Arabidopsis thaliana: one gene and its partners. The protein of the gene in region 1 binds, or shares a complex with, the protein of each later gene. Each region holds a gene or a part of one and is shown on either strand. Other genes may lie near its edges.

Region 1 (6,932 bases):
ATGTTCAAATCAGATCAATGGATTGGTACACGAGTCACTCCTTGTTTTCTTTTATTTAAGAAAAAACTTGAGACTGCAAAATGAATAATAATGAAAAAATGCAGCAAAAAGTGTGGGAAAAATCATGCGAATGAGAACCATCACCTGTTACACCTTTCTGGTGAGTCACCATATATGCACCTCTCTCTCTCTCTACTGGCACGCCCATGCCAACCATCACCGTTGTATTATGTCCCAAGATATATAAATAGTGGTGTGTGTTTGTGGCTGTGTATTATTCAAACACACAAGTCCTTTTACTTCCTTTTTCAGATTCTAAGCAAACAAATTGTGTCACTAAGCAGCCATCATGGCTAGAGTGATCTTGTGGTTTCTTGTTTCCTCGTATCTTTGTCTCATCGGTCATATGATTGCCGAGGCTGCAAGAGAAGGTGCCTCCATGAGGAAGGAAGCACACTCCAGTGGGATTGGAAGAGAAAGTAAGCTCATGAGGAATGAAAAACACTCCACTGAGATTGGAAGAGAAAGTGCGTCCATGAGGAATAAAGCACGCTCGAGTGAGATTGGAAGAGAGAGTAAGCTCATGAGGAATGAAGCACACTCCAGTGAGATTGGAAAGAGTATCCGACACGTAACCGGATTTAAGGGTGAACTCACAGCTGGTGGCTACGGCGGTGGAGGCCCGGGATATGGTGGTGGTGGATACGGTCCAGGTGGCGGCGGTGGTGGTGTTGTAATCGGTGGTGGATTTGGTGGAGGTGCCGGGTATGGTTCAGGTGGTGGTTTGGGTTGGGATGGAGGCAACGGAGGTGGTGGTCCAGGATACGGGTCAGGTGGAGGAGGTATTGGTGGTGGAGGAGGTATTGGTGGTGGAGTCATCATTGGCGGTGGTGGTGGAGGATGCGGAGGTTCATGCAGCGGAGGCGGTGGTGGTGGAGGAGGATATGGACACGGCGGAGTCAGCACGAAGGGATCAGGCAAAAACTAGAAAAAACATGCAGCTTGCTTTAGGTAGTGAAAGGAAGAAGAAATAAGGATGTACTTTAGCATCTTGATCATGTTTAGGAGTTTGTAATGGCATTAGTTTTAATGGAATAAGAACCTTTCTACAAAAAAAAATAAAGAATTGGTCCTATGTCTTTTCTTGGTTTCAAACATCCGAGCAGATTCTATTGTATACGCGATACAATAGCGTCGATCTTGACATCTGAGGCTCCTTTTCCACCACAGCGATCACATCCTTCACAGAGATTGACCGGACTACTTTTGGTAAACCTTGGTTCTTCCCAAATTGTGTACCACCTACATAAAGTTCGAATATGCAATTAGGAGCACGAAACACAAGAATAACCAGCAACAGAACTGAGAGATTTACTCTTTCAGATCATAGAAACGGGATTACCAATCTTACCAGAAAGTTTCTTGGAGTTTCTTCCTGGCCCTGGAGAAGATCTCTGACGTGCTTCAGCCATAAGTTTCCATTTTGAAAACCTATCATCTCCTCCAACGGCTGCACGAACAGCAACATTTGCAGCCTTGGCTCTCTCTTTATCTTCGTCCTTCTTATTTGCCTGACTTGTGATCAATAAACCTCTTTCAGTGTACGTATGTGTATATCTCCAAAGGTTTAGGTAGTTGGCTCAAGTTCTAAATACCTTCACTTCGTTTGAACGTTGGTCTTCTTTTTCAGTATCATTTTCTTTGTTCTACATCAATGAATATACAAAAAAAAAAAACTAGACATTACTACTGATAACTAAGACAAATAGATATTAAGCTCAGGACAAACCATTACCTTTTCTTCTCCAGAATGTTTCTTTTCCCATTCCTCTTTCACCTTCTGATTCATTTCATTAATTTCTTTCCGGATATCAGATGTGATAAAAGTCCGATTTCTACACTTCTCTGCATCAGTCCGCTGCAAAAGCTCTTGTAACTTCAGAAAGATTTAGGTACAACAAGATCTAAGGAGGCATGAGAAGAGAAAGTAGACTGACCTGCTTTGATATTCGTATTATATTAAACAGTAGTCCTCGCATCCTCTCCTCCACACACTGAATGCGCAAAGCCATGAGAAAAACGAAAACAAAAACAGGAAATTGAAGGCTAATAATTCCAAGAAAAGGTGTTAACATCTCACCAGAGACAAGCACCGCTCTACATCATGGTCTATATGCTTTAAACCACTTTTTCCCACTGTCATATATGAAAGCATACATAAACTTCTTCTCCAAGTGATTCCAAGTAAGGACCAAAGAAGCAGCTAAGATACGAGTTGAAACACAAACTAATTTCTGTCAGCTTTCTCTGCAGTGGAATTTTCTGCAAAAGCGTTCTTTCTTCCTCTCCATGCACAAGTCTTCGATATGCTTTAGAAACACGATCGTTCTTTTTAGGACCAGAATCTAATAATTGTTTTTCCTCTTCCTAGAACAGATGCAGAAAGTAATTTGGTTTATTGTTTCTCTATATCCAGGTTCAAAATGAGAAGTGTAGCAACTCGTAAACATACCCTGAGATTGATGCCACTGACTGCAGTGACATCATTAAACTTTTCAATACTTTCATCTGAAGAAGTCCCACATATTTTTTGCTTCTTTCTGTATATTAAAAAATACATAAGACTTCAATTTAGCAATTCTAAATTGTTAGTAAGGTAAAAAGGATATTATCAGAAAAGCAAAGAAAAAAGGAAGAGTAATTTATGGACGCTGTAAGTAGTTCATCTTTCACAAACCAGCCAGCTCATTACCTTGATGGTGGCAGCGAAGAACCTAGTGCCTCAAGAGGTTTCTTCTGACCAACAGAAGGCATTTTGGGTGTCACCGTAACATTAGCAATCTTGGGAATGGTCTCAGATGGGGCAGGCATATTAACCTGAAGTGTACACAAATAATTTTCACGTAAGATAGATAGTCCATTTACTCTTCACAACCAAAGTTCGAAGCCAGTACAAGGAGAAATAGAAGCCAGGGTGGTCCAAAATATAAGCAAAACGAAACCAAATGCAACATCGGTTGAAGAGAAATGGTCCCCCTATGAGCTTAAAGAGAAGATCAACCAAATTGAAATCTGTCTTTTGAAAGTATAATTTATAAGTTACCATCGTGCTAGAGTCCAGCTGTGTTGTCATTGAAGGAAAAACAGAGCTGGCAGAAGTGGTTGATGTGAATAAACCCATTTTAGAAGACTGCTTCTCCAAGTCATCATTTGAACTAATTGGAATAGCATTCTTCTGTTTCAGTGGAACATTAGTCACGCCTTGCTGCACCAAATAACGAGGTTTATGTGCCTGTTCAAAACTTTGATCAATCAATTTATGCTCCACATGGATCACTGATGAAGAAGGTCCCACTGTATGGTCCTTGGTGACTGATCCTTGCCAAGGAGCAGAATATAGAGGAAAGGATGAGTTCTTTGGGAAGTCGGATATAGGACCATCCTGAACCCTACTTGGACCATTTACAAAAGTTGGCCTCTCAAACTTGGGTACTGTCGTCATGTTTATTGTAGACTTGGTTGGTCCTCCAACACTGGCTATTCCCACATTCTGATTGTTTTCCCTATGCTGGAAATCAGGGAGCTTTGCTCTCGATGATGAACCAGGAGAAGTGACATTTGTCCCTGGGTATGGATTAAGACTTCCAGATTTGGTATCCATATGAAAAGAACTTGATGGAAGCTGCATGTGTTGCTCGGGATGCTTATTTAATCCCTGCACAGTAGTTGAACTGTTTAAGGTGCCTGAAGTTGTAGAAGACAGTTGGTTAACATGAACTTCACGAGGATCAGATTCTTGAGCAGTGAATTCTGCAGTTAATGATTGTATCTGGGATTAGTTTTGTATGCTACAAGGAAATCATAAGATAAGATCTACCAGAAAGTTAAGATGATCTATGATAATTGCAAAAGTAAATGGCATCAACTAAATAAGTTATACCAGCAGATTTAGACACTTTGTCATGGTTTGAGCGTCCAGGTACTTTGATCCCCATATTTCCCTGGTTACACATACAGTTCATTCTGAAACCAGTAAGCCACAATTCCAAGACAAGAAGTATTCAGCTTATACTATTAAAGTGAGAATTCTTTATGTTATTTCCTTTTTAATAAGGTTCAGAAGTGAGATTTCTTTCTCAGCACATGTTCATATACAGAGAAGGAAGCATATAAAACAAGAAACTCTCTTGGAGGCTGCTAAATGAAAATCATTAAAGTACTTATAAATGCTAAGAAAATGGAAAGGGTAATACCGGTTTTAACTGAGGCAGTTGGCTAATTACCGATCTGATTATCTGATCACCTACAAGATCTCTCAGTTGTCGCATGAACTCTTCCATTGTAAGTTCTTTTCTCTGCAATCAAGTATGAAAAGAAACGTAATGTATTAAGAAACTTCGATCAGAGTGCCAATTCATTCATGGATGTAAACTGTAAAGCCACACCTTGAGTTTATAATGCAGGTTAAGACAATGCGTCTTTTTGCCGGGTTGGTGGTCTACCACGGTACGAAGCAAATCAGTAACTCGTGCTAATCTAAGATTATGATTCACAGGGTCAACAGTCTTTTCCACCCAAGGAGTCTCTTTGCTACTCATCTTCTGCAGTTTCATATACCGAGGTTGCGGTTTTTCTGATTCATTACCAGTAGTATTGTTTATAGACTTCAAGTTACTTCCTTGGGGCACATGAGTTCAAGCACCAAAATCAATTATGAGTATGCTCTAATATTTTTCTATGACTAACCGTCACTAAAGCATCATCAAGAACTAACAATCTAATTGCATCCATCAACATTCAACAGTTAACATCAAGTGAAACATGAAGATACATGACAAACCACAAAAATACGACTCGTGAACCTAAATCACTAAAGAAATCTAAAGGCATTTCCCTGTTTTGATACATTCCACAGTTTCGCATATGAATTTTAGGGTCCAAAACGAACCTTCAATATCTCGAATCAGAGAGTCCTGAAACATTTGCAAGTCATCTTCCGAATGCTTAGAGTCAACCTAACGACACGATTAGCGGGAATCGACATTTAGGAGCTTCGTCCACAGAACAAGATAGCGCGTGGATTTTCGCAGACAGTACGGAAATGAAAATGAGAGTGGGAAATTCGAAACCTAACCTCTTCGTCTTCTTCGAGGAGCTTGACAATGGAGAGATCCATGGAGGAATCTCGCGGTACCAAACGTCAATAGCTCAAAACGAAGAGGGAATTTTCAAGGAAACGATTTGTTGTATCCAATAAGATTCCAAATTCCGCAAGTTTTTATATAAAGGGAGATTCTGCGAGAACACCGTGTCGTTTTTTCTTTTTGATAAAACACTGCGCGCCGTTCTGTTGATCTTCTTTTCGGTAGTTGTTTCTTTTGGATAAAACACTGCGCGCCGTTCTGTTCTTCTTTTCGGTAACTGGGCTTGTTCTTGTATATCAAAATTTATTTTTCTTGAATATAATGTTGGAGTTCTTAAACAGTTATTCATATTAGCATCAGACTTTTGCAAAAAAAAATTAATTAACTTTTAGATGAATTTTGATACACGTTTATGACCATTGAGTTTTGGACTTCCCGTAGATAATTCACCAAATTAAAGAAGGGATTATCTACGTTAATTAAACAGTGCTACTAAAGAAAACAAACGACCCGTCAAGAAAGGCTTTTTTCAATTGAAAGTTACGGTATTCTTTTGGTAAAAGAAAAATGAAAGTTGAGTTTTCTTTGGCAGTCTTCCGTAAGATATCACAACTCTTTTTATTTGCTTAGAGCTTTCCAAAATATAAGAAAGAACAATATGTGGATGGTAGTAGAAACTAGAACGTTCTTGATTATGCTTAATTGTGTTATAAATTTTTTGAAAAAAACAGAACCAAAAACAGAGTTGTAGTGGTGTCACTTTATGCTTATTCAGATAAAAAAAAGACTCAACGCGTTTGTAAAATATGTGGTAAAGAATCGGTTTAATAATTTTTAAAATGAAAGAACAAGAAGAATTGGAATCAGTCAAAGTCCAATTTGGTATGTACAGTCAACAAATTCCTACACAACTCTCAACAGTATACAAACGAAATCTTATCGTCTAAGTAAATTTCCTTAAAGTTGAAGTTTGACCGGAAAGTCAAACCGAGGCTTCTTCGCCGGCATAGGGCTCATGACTTCGTCGTCTCCGTTGACCATCGAGAATTCAGGGATCGGAGGGATGTTGAGGTCAAACCCACGGTGGCTACTGCTAACGTGGCTAGTGGACCCCGCACCTTCGGAGTTGGACACGCTACTAGTGTTGATGTTGTTGTTTCCTTCGTAGTGGCACCGCTTGTGTCCGCCGAGAGCTTGACCGGAAGGAAAAGACTTGTTACAGATGGTGCAAACGTGTGATTTCCCACTTCCAGTAGTCACGGCGGATGTGGTTGTCGCCGACGAGGTTGAATGATCATCTCCTCCGCCGGAGAGAGTCTGTGATAAGTTCTTACGGTGGCTTGCCTTGTGACCACCGAGAGCTTGGTAAGAAGAGAACGTCTTGTCGCAGACGCTACACTTGTAGCTCAACTTCTCCACCGCCGGAGGAGGAGGAGGCTGACGGTTGTCGCGAGCGAGAAGCATGAGGCAAAAAGCTAGATACTCTTCCTCAGTGAGGTTTTGGTGGTGGAAATCGGATCTTGATCTCTTAGATCGCTTACCCTTTGTCCAGTGCTCGACTCCATGGAAGACTGAAGAATCTTCGAACAAAGGAGGAATCGGAGAAGCTAATCTTGGTGATGTAAGAGCCTCGAGCGCCATTAAGTTAAAGATTCTGAGGATTTCTTGTCTCTCGAGTTTTAGTTTGAAGGTTGCTTGTGAATTGCAGTGAAGAAATTGTTTAATTGCTGAAGAAGAAGTAATGAAAGTGTGTGTAAATATATAGTAGTAGGTGGAGTGTGGAGAAGG
Region 2 (4,398 bases), on another chromosome or scaffold:
CTACAAATGATGAAATGCTCAAAGACAATAAATAATAATAGTACAGATTCTTTCTGAATGTATATACCTATCAAAGTCCAATAACTCAAACTGTTTATGATGATTGTTGCATTTTCTGTATTCTTTGATGATTGAAAACAATGGGAGACAAGACTTTCACATTTGAGACTATCAAAATGATGGTTCTGCCAGGAGTCTATATATACTGATATCAGAGTGGTGGGCTAATAGACGAAAAACTAAATCATAAGTATGGAATCTGAAAACTAGGGGTGTTAGTTAAAGGAACTGTGATAGGATTCAGTTCTCGTAAACTCTTAAGAGGCTTGATTAACGAGAGAAGTAAGTCTCTTATCTATCGCCCAGTGTCCAAAGCAAAATCCTACATTAATCCACAAGGCCCCAACTCAATAACCTAGCTTTCCTTTCTAACCTCGAGCTCTCAACTAATTGACATAACATAATCTTAATTCTGATACAGTGATATGTTTCACACCCCATAAACATCACGAAGCAAAACACATGTCGACCAAAGAAAATATACTTACCTCAGACCACTTGACTTGGTTTGGAAATATAGCAATGATACAAGACTAAACTCCTTCCACACTGGTCCCTGGCTCCCACTCATGAGACATGAAACTGAAACTAACATTAAGTTATGTAACAAGAATCTCATGAGAAAGACATCATATCAATTGCCTAAAAGATAGGTTAGAAATTCTCATTCTTTCAGTCACAAAATCATAATCATAACATAGGCCTGTATAAAGAAAGGTTACAAATCACAAGATTAATAGTACGCTACACAGACTGTAATGAATCACTTATTTTACAACTGATTGAGGTCTACTGGGTTCTCCATACACTGTCTCAAAATGAACTCCGCTCTTCTTCTTTTGTCATCTCTATCCTCCTCACGCACAAAGGATATGGGTCTATCTTCACCCTTCATCTGTAGACTTAGATCCAAAGGTTGTCCGAGAAATTTCTTCTCGGTTCTGAGCTTAGAAAGAGCAACAGGTTTATTCTTCTTCCATTCAGTGTGAGCTTCACTAGAAAACCCATCTCTTGCAGCCTCCATAGCAGGAGCAAATGCCTCTATCACTGATAAGCCATCTCTATTCAATGATTCGACTTTCTCCCCGGACGATACAGAACGCAGTTCACTCTCATCATCTCTCATTTCTTCTTTCACACCATCCATATCTCCCCACACAGGATTCCTTGAGGAGATTTTACAAACAAGTTTCCTCTGCAAACTCAACAAAGCTCTCTCAGCCTTTCGTCTCTGCCTCGCTTGTTCAATCTTATCTCCCCTTGGATCTGATACTCTTTCGATCCACATAGGGGTTTCCTTATAAGTATGAGGATCAGGAAAAGCTGGTAGCCACAAAGGAATATGTTTCCCAGGTGGAGTTTCACCAATTTCAACAAAGCTTGGGATCATCTTCCTACTCCTATCACTTATAGCTACAGGAAAACTTGGCAATGGCTGCGAGAAAGGGACTTCTTCACTCGAATTAACGAAATCGATAATCTCCCTAAGTTTAATCGAACGACCTAATGAACAACTCTCAGACGAAATTCCTTGTTCGCCATTGTTATCAGTCAAATCATCCAAAGCGAGAATGATATCGAACACGTTACACTGACTCCTACCAGTTAGATTAGCGAAGGAAGTAGCGGTTTTACCTAGCTGAAGAATGTACTGGAGTGCGAATCCAGATAGAGATTCGAGAGCTGGATCCTTGAAATTCTCGTACCCAACGCTCTCGCAGACCTGAGCTACTGCAGCTTTAGCGGCTGCGTGGCTAAACTCGTAGGACTCGGAGCAGCCAGAGGAAGATGCGGCATCGTTCCTATCACCTTCTTGAGCTCTCTCTGTGTTCATTGCTCTAATTTGTTTCAAAAAGCTATCTAATCCCTGAAATTAGGGTTTTCTCGTCGGTAAGACCACATGGACCGCCGGTTTAAAGAGAATCGAAGAAATTTGCCTCCGTCAACGGAAAAGACCTAACGTCGACGAAGCACCGGGAAATATGAAGAGAGAAAGAGAGACAGAGAGAAATGCGTCTTGAGAATCCTGCCATCTCTCGCTTATATAGAGCTCCAACCCCAAAATTAACTACCAACTTTTTTTTTTTTTTTTAGACCAAAATTTTGGTTTAAAATTAAACAAATGTAAATTGTAGTAATCATAACCCAAAAAATTATTGGAAAATTTTATAAGAAATTGGCGTGGCTGATTTTGTTGAAAATAAGTTTTTCTGCGGTATTTCGTAAAAATTTATGAAGCTATTTTAGAAATTCGGATGAGTGATTCTGTTGAAAATGAGTTCTCCGCGATATTTCATTACATTGTTTTGAAAATTTTCCAAACATAACGAAATATCGCGGGAGAACTCTTGACAACTTCCCGAGTTTCGTTACATTAAACTATTTTAGAAACTCTTGTGGCTCGATTTGTTGAAAATGAGTTCTTTCCCGATACCGCGGAGATTCATAACCTAGTTGTTTTAGTGACAACTTCTCGATAATGACAGCCTTACACAGTCTCAAGTTCTATATCAGTCTAATTGCGATTATGGTAAGAACATTAAGTGGAGTAAGATAACGAGGATGTTGACTTTGAATTACAAAACCTCTTACAAAAGTTATAAAGACAAATCATACAACTACATATATTTTAGTACACTCTTGACATGACAAATAGTATTTGAATACGATCACAATGCCGAATCAAGCCAGCTGCAATAACTCTTCACGTTTAATGTCGAACACCTTCACCAAAGCATCTTCCACGACCTGTAATTTTTTCACAAATATTTTCACTCATGTTCGTGTGGGAAACAAGAGAACCAAACAAAAATATAGCTGCAAATATATATATACCTTATCCGGGGTTGATGCACCTGATGTCACACCGATTGTTATTGGTCCCTTTGGGAGAAAGTTTTCCTTCTCGACCAGTTCTCCATACTATCAATGTAAAATAGAAAAAATCAGTGAATGCAGTTTGGTAAGGAGTAAGTTAGTTTTGAAATGCGCTTACGTGGAGCTTATAGGCTATTTTATTCCCAGGTCCTATCCGTTTCTCACTATCGATCCAGTAAGATGGGATTCCCCGTGCCTCTGAGATTTCCTGAAGGTGAGAGGTGTTACTTGAATTCCATCCGCCAACCACTAGCATGAGGTCAATCTTCTCTTCCACTAGCTCATAGATTGCGTCTTGTCGCTCCTGAAGAGATTATAGTATTGATGAATAAACACTTCCTCAAGTGTAAAACTTGTCTAGATGCATGGTTTTTGAGGTATGGGAATTTTACTTGAGTAGCGTCGCATATTGTGTTGAAGCTGATGAAATGTCCGCTTACATTTTCCACTCCATACTTGCGCATCATTGTTGTCTCGAGTAATCTTCCTGTGGGGTTTTTGGCATGAGACTCAAACTAAGGTGTTTTTGTTTCCAAGGATAAAAGACGATTGTCATGTAAAAAAACGGTAGAGTAACTAACCTATCTCCTCTGTTTCTCCCTTTAGCATCGTTGTTTGGTTTGCAATACCAACTTTGACAAGGTCATTGTCGGGATCGAAACCCTTCGAAATTGCGTATTTGAATTTCTACAACGCCAACATAGAGATTAGAAAAACCAGAATGATACAAAGAATTAGCAAAATAAGCTTACATACCTCCATGAACTCCTCTTTTGTGGAGCTAGATCCATCGTATTGGCCACCGAGAATGTAATCACAAACGTAATTTGCCTGTGCTCAGTAATAAGGTACCCCATCAGTAACACATCTTGCAAAATTCTATGGATATCCAAAGTTTGACAATATAAAAGTCACACCTCTTTCATGTTCTTTACAATGATGTACTTTCCTGCAAAAGACGCAGTTGCAATCGTCTCTTCATGATTATATTTACCATGGATTACTGATGTGTATTCCCCCTTCTTGTGCTTCTCAACCGTGTTCCAGACCTTTAGAGTCACAAATGTCAAAAAGGAAGATATCAATAACCTATGCTAGAGATGAATGCGAGAAACAATATTACGGATTTATGGCCACAGGAGGAATGTACCTTTGTCACCCAAGGACAAGTCGTGTCAACAATTTGCACCTTTTTATCATTAAGAACATACATCTCGTCAACACCAGCTCCAAACGCAGGAAGGATAACCACATCATCTTTCTCTACTACATCAAACTGTTTCTTTGAATCCTCAACCGGAATAATTTTAACATCCATATCTTCCAACCTCTGCAATGTTCCATGCAATTCAACTACACTGATTGGCCACAAAGCAAAAGCATCTAGCTATGTTTACAGTAAGGTTACTGAGTATAGTGACGACATACCTTATTGACGGTCGGGTTATGAATGATTTCGTT
Region 3 (5,300 bases), on another chromosome or scaffold:
AAAACATCTTCACTGCTTCTGTTTCCTTAAAATCTGCAACACAATTGTAGCAAATGAGCTCTAAGATTTGCAAGTGAATAGTACAGCATGTTCTCCAAATAGAATCCATGTCATAATGGGGTAGACAAAAAATGAAAGGAAAACAAACAACCTAGCTTTCTAGAAGCCTTGGCTTTTAAAGAAGAGACAGATTCCTCTCTGCCGACGGTTAGCAGTGATCCTTTACCCCCCAGACTCTTAACAACAATTGTCATGGAACCTTGGGTGGGTAAAATTTTTTGCTGCTTTATGGCTAGCTCATTGTCATGTGGATACCACAGAGCTTTGGGCCGGTGAAAATTTGCTCTCTCTTTACTGCAATGAGTTAAATCAAAACTTTTTAACATAAACCACTAAAAAAATGTATTTAAAAAATATATCCAGTGGCAACATTGAGACCACACACGAATGTAACAATGAAGCGTACAAATACAATAAGATGTAAAAATTCAAATGACTCACTTACTTGCTCAATTTGATCTTCATCGTCTGCAATTTAATCGCTGGTGCCGAATGGAAAACTCTCAAACTGTGTACGGTAGATTTCTTAGCATTTCCTTGCAGTTTCTGAGCGCTTTTCCCATTCATATAGAATTTGTCATTAGAAATATTGAATTGCCACCCAGAATTTGATCCACAGCCTTCTTGAAAGGATCCGTCCTTGGATTTTGAAGATCGAGATACAATCCTAGATCCAGCATGAAGTTGAAGATATTTTCTTTCCTTATTGTTCGGAACTTCAAAGATCATTTGCTCATCTTGAAGATCAAATATTAGTTTAGACCTGCTCAAATCTTTATCTGACTCCCATATTATGCTATCTAACCATGACTCATCCCACATATCCCTATCTTGCAATGCAAGTCCACTCAAGCGCCCACGAGCGTCACTATTAAGCTGCTTTAAATTCTCCCGTCCAGCATCGCCATTTTCCCTATAATGATCCTCATCCCACTGAGATTCTAATCTAAGGAGTTGTGGATGATGTCTACTTTTGTTAGTGGACTCATTTGTAGACTGGGAACCTCTTGAGCCAAAAGACTCCAACGGATTTACAAAAAAAGGCTCGAGCATGTTGTTATTGTCCCCTTGAGTTTGCCCTCCAGAGTTCATCACATTTAAGCTTTCTTGTTCAGTCACTGAATTTGAAGCCCTCACCTGTACCATTATACCTGCTGACTCAAGTCCAGATTTGAAGCCCTCACAACAATTAGCACTAAATTGAGGAGAAATTTCCCAGAGTATTAGATGTTCCCATTCTTGCTGGTCTAGAGGGAAAACTTCCATTGTTAATTGAGACTGACAGAGAGATGAATTATCGTCTTTTAAGTCCTGCTTCAACAGTTCACCCATGATACATGAATCCCTTCCTAGCTTGGTAAACTCTCTCGATTCTGATGTAGTATCCCTTACTATGCCAGATTTTACCAGCTGTGAACGCTCTCTGATTGGTAAGGGAACATCCAGCTGAATTTGATCAGTTTTTTTCCCATGAGTGTCAATCCTACCATGGCTCTTCAGGAGTACCTCCTCATCGTCTTCGATAAGCTCAGAAATATCCATAGATATGTATTTGTCTGTACCAAAGAAGGCTATGATGTAAGAGTCTCATATGATAATTGTTTTCATAGAACTTTCTCAGCTATTCTAGTTACATTAAAAGAAGTGATGAATTACAAACAGAAAAGAACAATGCAGAGAGATAACGAGAGAAACAGAGAAAATAATGTATATCATTTCAGAAGCACCAAATATACATATCTACTAAATTCTTGCCAAGAAAAGACAGAGCCACATACAAAAAACTTCTCATGCTTTCGACACCTAATGGCTTTTAGAATTGAACGGGAGATACTGAAAATCTTGAGAAATCATTGTTGTTGTAGATTTTAACATCCCAATGGAAAGCACAAAAAATTCAAAGGCTTTTGAGAATAAACAAAATTAGGAAGCCGTTGCAGATCACATACCTCTATAAGTGATACATCTAATTTCTCTCTTCTGCCGTTTCTTCTGTGGCTCTTGTATAGCAAATATCTCAGAGAATTGTAAGATGACCATACCATCATCTTCAAGATATAACGTAGGCAGCGGGGTGACACGTTTCTCATCCAAAGTAGCTTCTGATAATCCAACCACCAACTCCTGAACGTTTCAATGAGATCACTAACAGAACAAAATCATTCCACAACAAAAAAAGATGTTATCTGAGACACCGAAATCATTCTTGCTGACCTCCTGGACATCTCCTGTGTCCATCTGATTCTTATTTCCCAAGATGCTAGCCTCCTTTTCATGCTTTACGGGCTTTTCCTCCTTCAAGACAACTGCGAAAATAATGTTTAGTGTCTCATAATCACTAACACAAAAGGAATCTAAGAAAAGTTCCAAGAGTTCTGATCTCTAGTATTTATGACGCACTGGACTCCAACTTAACAAGAGATTATTTTCCCGAGCTAAACAAGTATAAGTGTTGAGAAAACTAAACCAATCTGAGATTAATGAAATGACAAAACAAAAGTAGAGAATAGAGTGTGCTAATCGTTTTGTTCAAGAAACGGAAATTTCAAAAGCAAACCTGGTTCCCTCTCTTCTGAATCAAAAGATTTCTCAACTGGTACATGTTCCTTCTCTTGTCCTCCTTGTTCATCATAATCTTCGTCGTCAAACACAGAAGCTCTGGAATTTAAACCACTCAAAGCAAATGCAGCTGATAAGTACTCTCTTTTTGGTAGTAGGTGATCTTCCTCAGTAACTACTTGAAGCTCAGGCCCATCATACTCTTCATCATTGCTCCCATAATCTACACGACATATCATCACAAGTCAGTGAAGCTGATGACCGGGAATTGGTAGTGGCAAATAGTTTCAGTTTGTAACTGCTATGGGTGGGACTTGTTGCGTATATCAAAATCTCAAACATAAAAACCTTCTATTTAATTAACTCAAAACGCTGAGCAATAAATTATCCCACAATAAGTAGATTATGACTAGAGCAAAACTAGGAGAATGCAATACACTAATGAAGAAACCATGTAAGAAACTGCAAATATAACCTGCGGAAGTCTCGTTGTCGTTGGACTCAGACATAATAAAACCCTCGAATGCAAAGAGTGGCGTGACAATTTTGCTTCCCAAATAGCAAAGGAACTACTGAAAAGAATCAGGAGCAAGAACAAATCCACGACTCAACGAAAACCTACAAGGGAAACATACCACCATCAAATTTTCCGGTACAATTAGGGAATAACAACGTTCATACCCAAGTACCAATTTTCGTCAAATTTTGTTGTTTAGTAAGGAACCAAGAACAAAACCCTCGTTGATATCTAACCGAGACGACGACATTCAACGTTATGTGGGATTGGCGGTTTCCTAATTGAGAGTATGTACACATTTAGCCGGAGGAAGTGAAGCGGAGCTCAATCGGGTGATTGGAAGATACAACGGAAAGAAGAAATCGTCTGAGGGATCAAAGAGGCGGGTATTAACATCGGAGTGGTAATTTATAGGGAAAAGTTTATAACCCGCCCCGATTCTGATTTAGTTGTCCCGGGTCCCATTTTTTTTTTTGCACTTCAAAGATTATGTTTATTAATGGTCCACAGAATACAGCCCAATAAAAGCCCATTTAGTTACATATCCCGGGTCCAATAAAGTAAATAATTAGTCAAAAATTATATAATTAAGTAATTAATAATTTTGATGGAAATTTGGCAAGACAAGTAAATAAATAAGAGTAAAAGTGATTTTCTCGCATATTACTCTTCTTCTAGATTTTGGCGCTTTTTTAAAATTTACGTTAGAAATACTAAATAAAACAAACAAAACCTATGCCCTGTTCGTTTTCCTGTCGCTGGATCCAGCGACAGCGACCAACGACCAGCGACAGCAACCAGCGACAACATATATTGTTCGATTGTCTGTCGCTGGACTCAGCGACCAATTACATCAACAATCGCTAATAATTGTCGTTGTGTTGTTCGTTTGACTGTCGCTATAAACAGTCGCTATATTTTTTTTTAAAATTAATTATTTTTGGTACTAATTTATATTTTAAAATCAAAATGTAAATCATATATATCATACACCATGAGAAAAATAAATTAATAGATTTATTTATTTTAGTTTTATCAAATTTAATTTGACTATAATTAGTTTATGTTATTTGAATTTAATTTATTTTAACTTAATTTAATAAGAATTATTTTAATTAAACTAGAACTCAAACCTTTCTTGATATCGCAGAGAAAAATATTATAAATTTATTTATATAATAATTTCTTTAAAACAAATCTAACTCCAAATGATGCATATTCTAAATTTCGTAGTTATTCAATAGTATATATATAACTAACCGGAAAAAATAACTGTAAATATTTTGACAGAAAATTACAATATAGGAAGGTTGCAATAAAAGACACAAGCGAGAAAAAACAACCATCAATATTTTTTACGGAAAGTTGCGATTAAAAGACACAACCGTTCAGAGTGCAAAAAGACATTTATTTTAAGTTTAATTTAATTTAATTCTGTTTAATTTAATTATTTTTAATTATTCTTTAATTTATATTTTTTGATCGCTAAATTGTTCGTTTGCATGTCGTTGGATCCAGCGACTAAAACCAGCGACTAATCGCTGAAATCAGCGACTGATCGCTAAAAATTTCAGCGACCAAAAATTGCGGTCGCTGGTCGCTGGCGATTGTCGTTACTTTTGATCGCTATGCAAACAAACAACTTTTGGTCGTTGTCGCTGGTTTCAGTCGTCAGCGACAGGCAAACGAACACAGACAAGCAAACGAACACAGGCAAACGAACAGGACCCTAATTTACCAAAATGAAACAAAATATAATTATCCATGTCCAAAAAGAAAAAGAAGAACAATAATTGTCATATGACAAAATTAAAGGATATACTTGTTACGGTGTATATTGTATAGTCTCTTTATTTCATTCTTATAGTAACAGACCCAAACCAAACCAAATCCTACGCAAAATTAGTCTATTTTTTTTATTTTATCTCGAACTTTGACATAAGCCGCTAGGAAATATATATTTTAATCACGAGGCGAGATAATTCGAATTAAAATGGACCCTCTCTAGTCTCTACTGCTTTTTTCAATGTCTTAGCCGTTTGAATATTTTTGAAAAAATAAAAGAAAATAGGTTTCTCATTTACGAAACTAACCTCTACAAGCCTACTTTATTACGTGAGAAAGCCCTTTCCAAATTCAAATTCGAACAGCGCCTCAAAGTACA
Region 4 (5,492 bases), 2.2 Mb from region 1:
AAAAAAAAAAAAAAGGAATGCTGAGACAACAGAAACGATAAGAAAAGGAGAAAATTGGACAAAACATGGAATTTGCCTGGAAAATTAAATAGAATGAATCACTTCATATTTGTGGCATCGAATACACAGATCTAGCACATTCTTGCCAAAAAGAGACTGAGCCGCATAAAAGGAAAAGGTCTTTTTGTTTCAACACTTAGCCCTTTAGAATTGAAAGGGAAATAAAAAATGGAGAAACGTTTTTTGATGGACAGCACCAAAAAAACTCAATAGGGTTCGAGAAGAAACAAAAAGAGGAAGAACATTCCAGATCACATACCTCTACAAGTGACATATCTATTTTCTCTCCTATCCCGTTTCTGTGGAGGCTCATGGATAGCAAATATCTCGGAGAACTGTAAGATAACCATACCATCTTCCACATACAACGTAGGCAGTGGGGTGGCGCCTTTGTCATCCAATGTACCTTCCAATAACTCATCCACCTCCTCCTGAATGTTTTGATGAGATCACTAACATAACAAAATCATCCCACAGCAAAAATATGTTATTTGAGACACAATTTCCCTTTATTTTGAGGGGAAACTGACCTCCTGGACATCTTCGGTGTCCATATGATCCTCTTTATCCAAGATGCTAGCCTCCTCTTCATACTCCAAGGCCTTGTCTTCCTTTAAGACAACTGCAACGCAATTTTTTTTGTCTTGTTAAGTTTATATTCTCAAGGACTTAAATCACACTAGACTACAGCTTTGCAAGTAATCATTTGCCTGAGCTCAACAAGTATAATTACAGGAAGAATGACTTAACAAAACCAATTTGAGTGATGAGATAACACAACAAAAGTACACTTTACTATGGGATAATTGTTTTGTTCAAGAAACGGAAATTTCGAAATGCAAACCTGGTTCCCTCTTTTCAGTTTCAAGAGATTTTTCAACTGGCGCTTGCTCCTCCTCTTGTTCTTCTTCCTCGTCATAATCTTCATCATCAAACACAGAAGCTCTGGACTTTAAACTACCCAAAGCAACTGCAGTCGAAAAATACTCCTTTTTTGGCAGTAGATGATCTTCCTCACTGACTACTTGAACTTCGGGCCCATCGTACTCTTCATCAATATCCTCATAATCAACAGCATCCTCAGCTTTTCTATCATAATCTACACAACATATCACCACAGTCAATGACGCTGATGACCAGGATTTGGTAGTGTAAATAGTGTCAGTATGTAAATGCTACGGGCAGGAATGTTGCATATTTAAAGATTGTAAACGTGAGTAGTTAAAATGTTTATGCATATAAATTACGCAAGACACTTTCTTAAACAATCCAATAATAATTGGATTATGACTACAACGAAAGTAAGAAGAGTGCAAGACCATTGTGATGGAAACATTCACTGGGAGAAAAACTTTCTAGCAGGTTTCCTAGAAGCTACTCCAGTATGGTTTAAAGAAACGGTAGAATGAAAACTAGAAGTTAAATGAACAATAAAAACTGCATAAGATAGACGACCCTGGCAGACAACATCACCTTGCTCAGCTGGATCACTTGCTGTACGTTCTGATTTTGCCAATAACTGTTGAGTTTAGAAACACCATTATTGGCATCCCAGTACAAGAAAAAGAGGATTAAAAACCACATAAAAGACTCGCAGTTCACTCGTCTATAAACTTTAGAAGATAAAATATTAAAGAGTGTGTAGAACGTTACATTTATATCTGGTAGAGATGAACCCAGCTTATCTGCCAATGCAGAAAGATGTTCTTTGGCGTCCTGAAAAGTTTAAATGTTAGCATTGGCACAGGTATGCTTGGTGGAGAATTTGCAACTCATAGTTAATAAAATACATATATCCTAAGTCCAGAGAGAATAGACAGAAAAACTGAGACCGATAATGAAAATAATGTGTTCAACAAGGTCATCATACTGAAAGCGTAAAACAGATTACCTCATCAAGGTAATCAGCGTCCAAGTCCCCAGAGTTATCAACATTTCCAAAGATGAATCCAAGGTTAAAACCCCTGCTGTTGTCCTCATATTCATCATCGTCATCTGCAGCAGACATGTAAAATATTGGTGTTCACCAAACAAATCTTGGCAGACATGTAAAATATTGGTGTAAAATGGGAATGCATGTGATAACTGATTATCATCACGAGTATTCAGAAATCACAAAGATTGCATGTTAACACTCTTGTTAAACTGCTAAATCCAAGGTCACATAATCATTGGATTCCTCTCCATCATCTTATCAGGCTACAGTAGCCTCCATCTAGTGAAACTACTATTCCCATTCTCTTCGTCATCTAAGATCCTACAAACTCAATTCCCTCTAGAAATTTAGAAAAAATAATCTTAACTATACCCTAGAACATGTCCAGGATCACTCAAGACTGCTCCTTTTCTACTTAAAGAAATCCAAAATATTCAAAACCGTAAATCGGTCATGAGCTAGCCTAAATGCACCAAACACTAGCTAGACAGGGACATCTCTAGTTTCACAAACTGTAGTAATCCAAAATTCCACAACCTAATATTTCCAATCTCTTTGTCAATTAAGATCCTACAAACCAATACTCAGAATCACTCAAGGCTGTTCCTTTTCTACTTAAAGAGACTTAATCCGAAATATTCAAAACCGTAGAACAATCATAAGCTAGACAGGGGCATCTCCAGTTTCAGAAATCATGTCGACAATGGACTGGACCGGAAAAAAGAAAAGCAACAAACTTTGATAAAGAAAGCAACATATATATACCTGAGGAAGTCTCGTTGTGGGAACCCTTGCCATTGGATTCAGCCATATTCAAAGATTTAACTACAATGGTGACAATCGGGAGACGACAAGGCAATTGTCCTTCCCAAATCCCCAACCATTAAAACTCAATCAAAACCTTCAAAAGAAACAAAAAAAACTACACAATTACAAGCCAACCTAAACGGACCTGGAAACAAAAAAAGCTAACTTCTTTATCTGAAACTTCATCAAAAGAGTCTCAATTTGGCTTTAAAATCACAACCAAATCGAAACCCCATTGATCAATTTTCGAGTTAAGCTGAGTTGCAATCAAAGCATTGGATAAAATTGAAGAAGACGATACGATACCATTCACTGATACGAGATTGTTGGATTGGAGGGTTCTTTCTTGAAACCCTAATTGAGGGTACAAGTAAGCTTCGCCGGAAAGGTAAACCAGCTCAATCGGACGAGACGGTACGATGTCGGAGAGAAGTTCCGAGGTAAGCAAACTCTCAAATCGGAGGAAAAAAAAAAGTAATAACAAAAAAAAGAAGAAAATTGCGAAGCGACCAAGACAAGATTGTGAGGGCATTTATAAAAGTTTTATAACCCGACCCGAATAAAGTTTGAGTCCGGGTCTAATTTCTTAACCAGGAAAAATCAATTTCGTTGTTTGGTATGGAGGTGGTTAAGCAGAAATAGAGTCGGTTCTGAAGTAATTTTTGTTGTTGTTTAATCAGTGGTAATTTTACGAATTTAATAGATATATACCTATGATATTTCTTTAAAATATCTTTCTACCAAAATTGCAAAAGAAAATTGAATTTTAAAAGTATTATAAAAACATAACTGTTATAGTTCTACATTTAAATTTTCAATTTTTAATAATATTTTAATCACTTTAATTTTATTTTTTCGATCGACTAACATTCTAATATCCAAATTTAAGGCACACAAGTTTAATTGATAGTTTTATTTTTTTCATCGAATAACATCGGATGTGAAACTCTTTATTGCATACCTTGTACATATATAAAAATCAATAACATGTTGATTTTAATTATATAAAAAAATTTAATATTAAATAAAACCAGATTGAATAAAAATGGATATTAAGAAAATATATAGGTTCTTTTATTTTATGGACCACTGCGTCGGTAACTATGACGAAGTAAAACGGCAGTAGCCGTTAAAAAAAATAAAGTAAAATGATCCATATAGACAGATCGGAGATGTCGCTGAAAAAATAGAAGTGTCGTTGGAAAAAATAGAGATATTGATCTAACAACGTAGGAGTCGTGAAAAATATAGCGGCCTAAATGAACATAATCCAGCTTTTCTTCCATTGTCAGTTTTGAACAACCAGCAACGAATTTTATAATAAATTATGCCATTTATTTCTCATTTCGTTCTTTAATTTTTAGTCATCAAATTTAATCGCAACGACCAATACAAGAAGAACATGGTATAATCATACCAAATCATTGATTCAATATTACCTTATTAGATTTTATAAAATTCATTATCCATTCAACAATTGTACCTCAACATTTTCAAATGTACCTCAACAAGCAATTTTTTCTTTATTTAGTTTAACCTAAACAAGGAATTTATTTTTATTTTTACCATAACCATCATGAACTTTGTTGACTTGTTAAATGTCTCTATCTCCTTCTAACGAAATTATCAAAATCAATTTCTGTTCCTTATACTCCAACCAAATAGTGGTCCTGATTCTAAATCCTAGTTCTAAAATTAAGCCTTGTATTTTCTCTTTTTTATTAACGTAAAATCAAACAAAACAAATATCTCAAATATTTTGTTAAGAAAAAAGAATTCTTTATTCAACGAAAAATATGGATTAAAAAGAACACCAAAGCCACGTGCATTGTCACTTCCCAACTTTAGAAAAATTGTATTTATATAAACAAGTTTTATCTAATTAGCAGTTTTATGTTATTTTGTCTTTAATCTCACTTCACCGTCTCTCTTTCACTCAATCTCCGTGATTCATTTTTTCTCCGACGTTGCTTAATCCTCGAAATCTCCGGCGATGGGTGGTTGCGTCTCCTCCAACCTCCTTACTCCGACCGATGACAGCAGCTTCTCTCACCTCACCAGCTCCTCCTTAAGCCAACATTTCGTCAAGCTAACTTCCACCACTTACGGTCTTCTCAATCTCGACTCTTCTTCACCTTCTCCTCCGTCTCCTTCCTCCTCCTCCTCCGCCAAATCCGTTATCACGCCAATGACTCCGCCTGAGAGATTCACTATCAACGGTAAGGAGGCGGCGATGATGATGGTTAAGTCTGAGCCGACGACGGAGGTTATTAACTTCTGGGAGCTAATGTCAGGTTTAGACGGCGATACTTGTCGATTCTCTCCGATTCCGGTGAAATGTAATGGATTTTCCGGCGGATTAAAGAAAGAGAACTCCGATCCTAATTTGAAAAACCCTAACGATTACGAGGTTTTGAAACCGTTAGATCCGAAATTAGCGGAGGAATCTGAGAGGTTATGTGACGGCGGAGAGAATCGCGTTGTGATTTATACGACGTCGTTGCGCGGTGTTCGACGGACGTTTGAGGCGTGTAACGCCGTGAGAGCTGCGATTGAGAGTTTTGGTGTAGTGGTTTGTGAGAGAGATGTGTCAATGGATAGAGGATTTAGAGAAGAGTTATCCAATCTAATGGCGGTAGAATCGACGGCGGCGGTGTTGCCGCCTCGGGTTTTTGTGAAGGGGAAGTAC

The links.
Region 2: TAF4B (region 1) and TAF8 share a complex: the UniProt entries of both Arabidopsis thaliana proteins name them as parts of the TFIID complex.
Region 3: TAF4B (region 1) and HAF2 share a complex: the UniProt entries of both Arabidopsis thaliana proteins name them as parts of the TFIID complex.
Region 4: TAF4B (region 1) and HAF01 share a complex: the UniProt entries of both Arabidopsis thaliana proteins name them as parts of the TFIID complex.

What each region holds. Positions count from the first base shown.
Region 1 is NC_003070.9:9,642,201-9,649,132, forward strand, and holds TAF4B (TBP-associated factor 4B), read right to left. Parts: upstream 5,177-6,932; coding exon 5,135-5,176; intron 5,125-5,134; exon of another isoform or gene 5,016-5,124; coding exon 4,949-5,015; exon of another isoform or gene 4,679-4,948; coding exon 4,446-4,678; intron 4,356-4,445; coding exon 4,254-4,355; intron 4,002-4,253; coding exon 3,941-4,001; intron 3,811-3,940; coding exon 3,104-3,810; intron 2,878-3,103; coding exon 2,753-2,877; intron 2,601-2,752; coding exon 2,513-2,600; intron 2,428-2,512; coding exon 2,289-2,427; intron 2,197-2,288; coding exon 2,141-2,196; intron 2,055-2,140; coding exon 1,998-2,054; intron 1,919-1,997; coding exon 1,796-1,918; intron 1,707-1,795; coding exon 1,656-1,706; coding exon of another isoform or gene 1,641-1,655; exon of another isoform or gene 1,572-1,640; coding exon 1,412-1,571; intron 1,303-1,411; coding exon 1,151-1,302; downstream 1-1,150. Other genes in the region: AT1G27710 (Glycine-rich protein family), read left to right, coding at 350-988; STZ (salt tolerance zinc finger), read right to left, coding at 6,102-6,785. UniProt on the Arabidopsis thaliana protein: TAFs are components of the transcription factor IID (TFIID) complex that is essential for mediating regulation of RNA polymerase transcription.
Region 2 is NC_003075.7:16,425,939-16,430,336, forward strand, and holds TAF8 (TBP-associated factor 8), read right to left. Parts: upstream 2,073-4,398; 5' UTR 1,895-2,072; coding exon 833-1,894; 3' UTR 701-832; downstream 1-700. Other genes in the region: HDR (4-hydroxy-3-methylbut-2-enyl diphosphate reductase), read right to left, coding at 2,743-2,808, 2,896-2,982, 3,056-3,241, 3,330-3,424, 3,519-3,624, 3,694-3,768, 3,855-3,986, 4,088-4,267 and 1 more. UniProt on the Arabidopsis thaliana protein: TAFs are components of the transcription factor IID (TFIID) complex that is essential for mediating regulation of RNA polymerase transcription.
Region 3 is NC_003074.8:6,572,425-6,577,724, forward strand, and holds the start of HAF2 (histone acetyltransferase of the TAFII250 family 2), read right to left. Parts: upstream 3,190-5,300; 5' UTR 3,129-3,189; coding exon 3,095-3,128; intron 2,859-3,094; coding exon of another isoform or gene 2,843-2,858; coding exon 2,618-2,842; intron 2,367-2,617; coding exon 2,275-2,366; intron 2,185-2,274; coding exon 2,010-2,184; intron 1,617-2,009; coding exon 506-1,616; intron 355-505; coding exon 152-354; intron 34-151; coding exon 1-33. UniProt on the Arabidopsis thaliana protein: TAFs are components of the transcription factor IID (TFIID) complex that is essential for mediating regulation of RNA polymerase transcription. Core scaffold of the TFIID complex.
Region 4 is NC_003070.9:11,853,455-11,858,946, forward strand, and holds the start of HAF01 (HAC13 protein (HAC13)), read right to left. Parts: upstream 3,312-5,492; 5' UTR 3,110-3,311; intron 2,898-3,109; 5' UTR 2,808-2,897; coding exon 2,762-2,807; intron 2,056-2,761; coding exon 1,952-2,055; intron 1,777-1,951; coding exon 1,714-1,776; intron 1,580-1,713; coding exon 1,534-1,579; intron 1,160-1,533; coding exon 905-1,159; intron 683-904; coding exon 591-682; intron 492-590; coding exon 320-491; intron 1-319. Other genes in the region: AT1G32760 (Glutaredoxin family protein), read left to right, coding at 4,797-5,492. UniProt on the Arabidopsis thaliana protein: TAFs are components of the transcription factor IID (TFIID) complex that is essential for mediating regulation of RNA polymerase transcription. Core scaffold of the TFIID complex.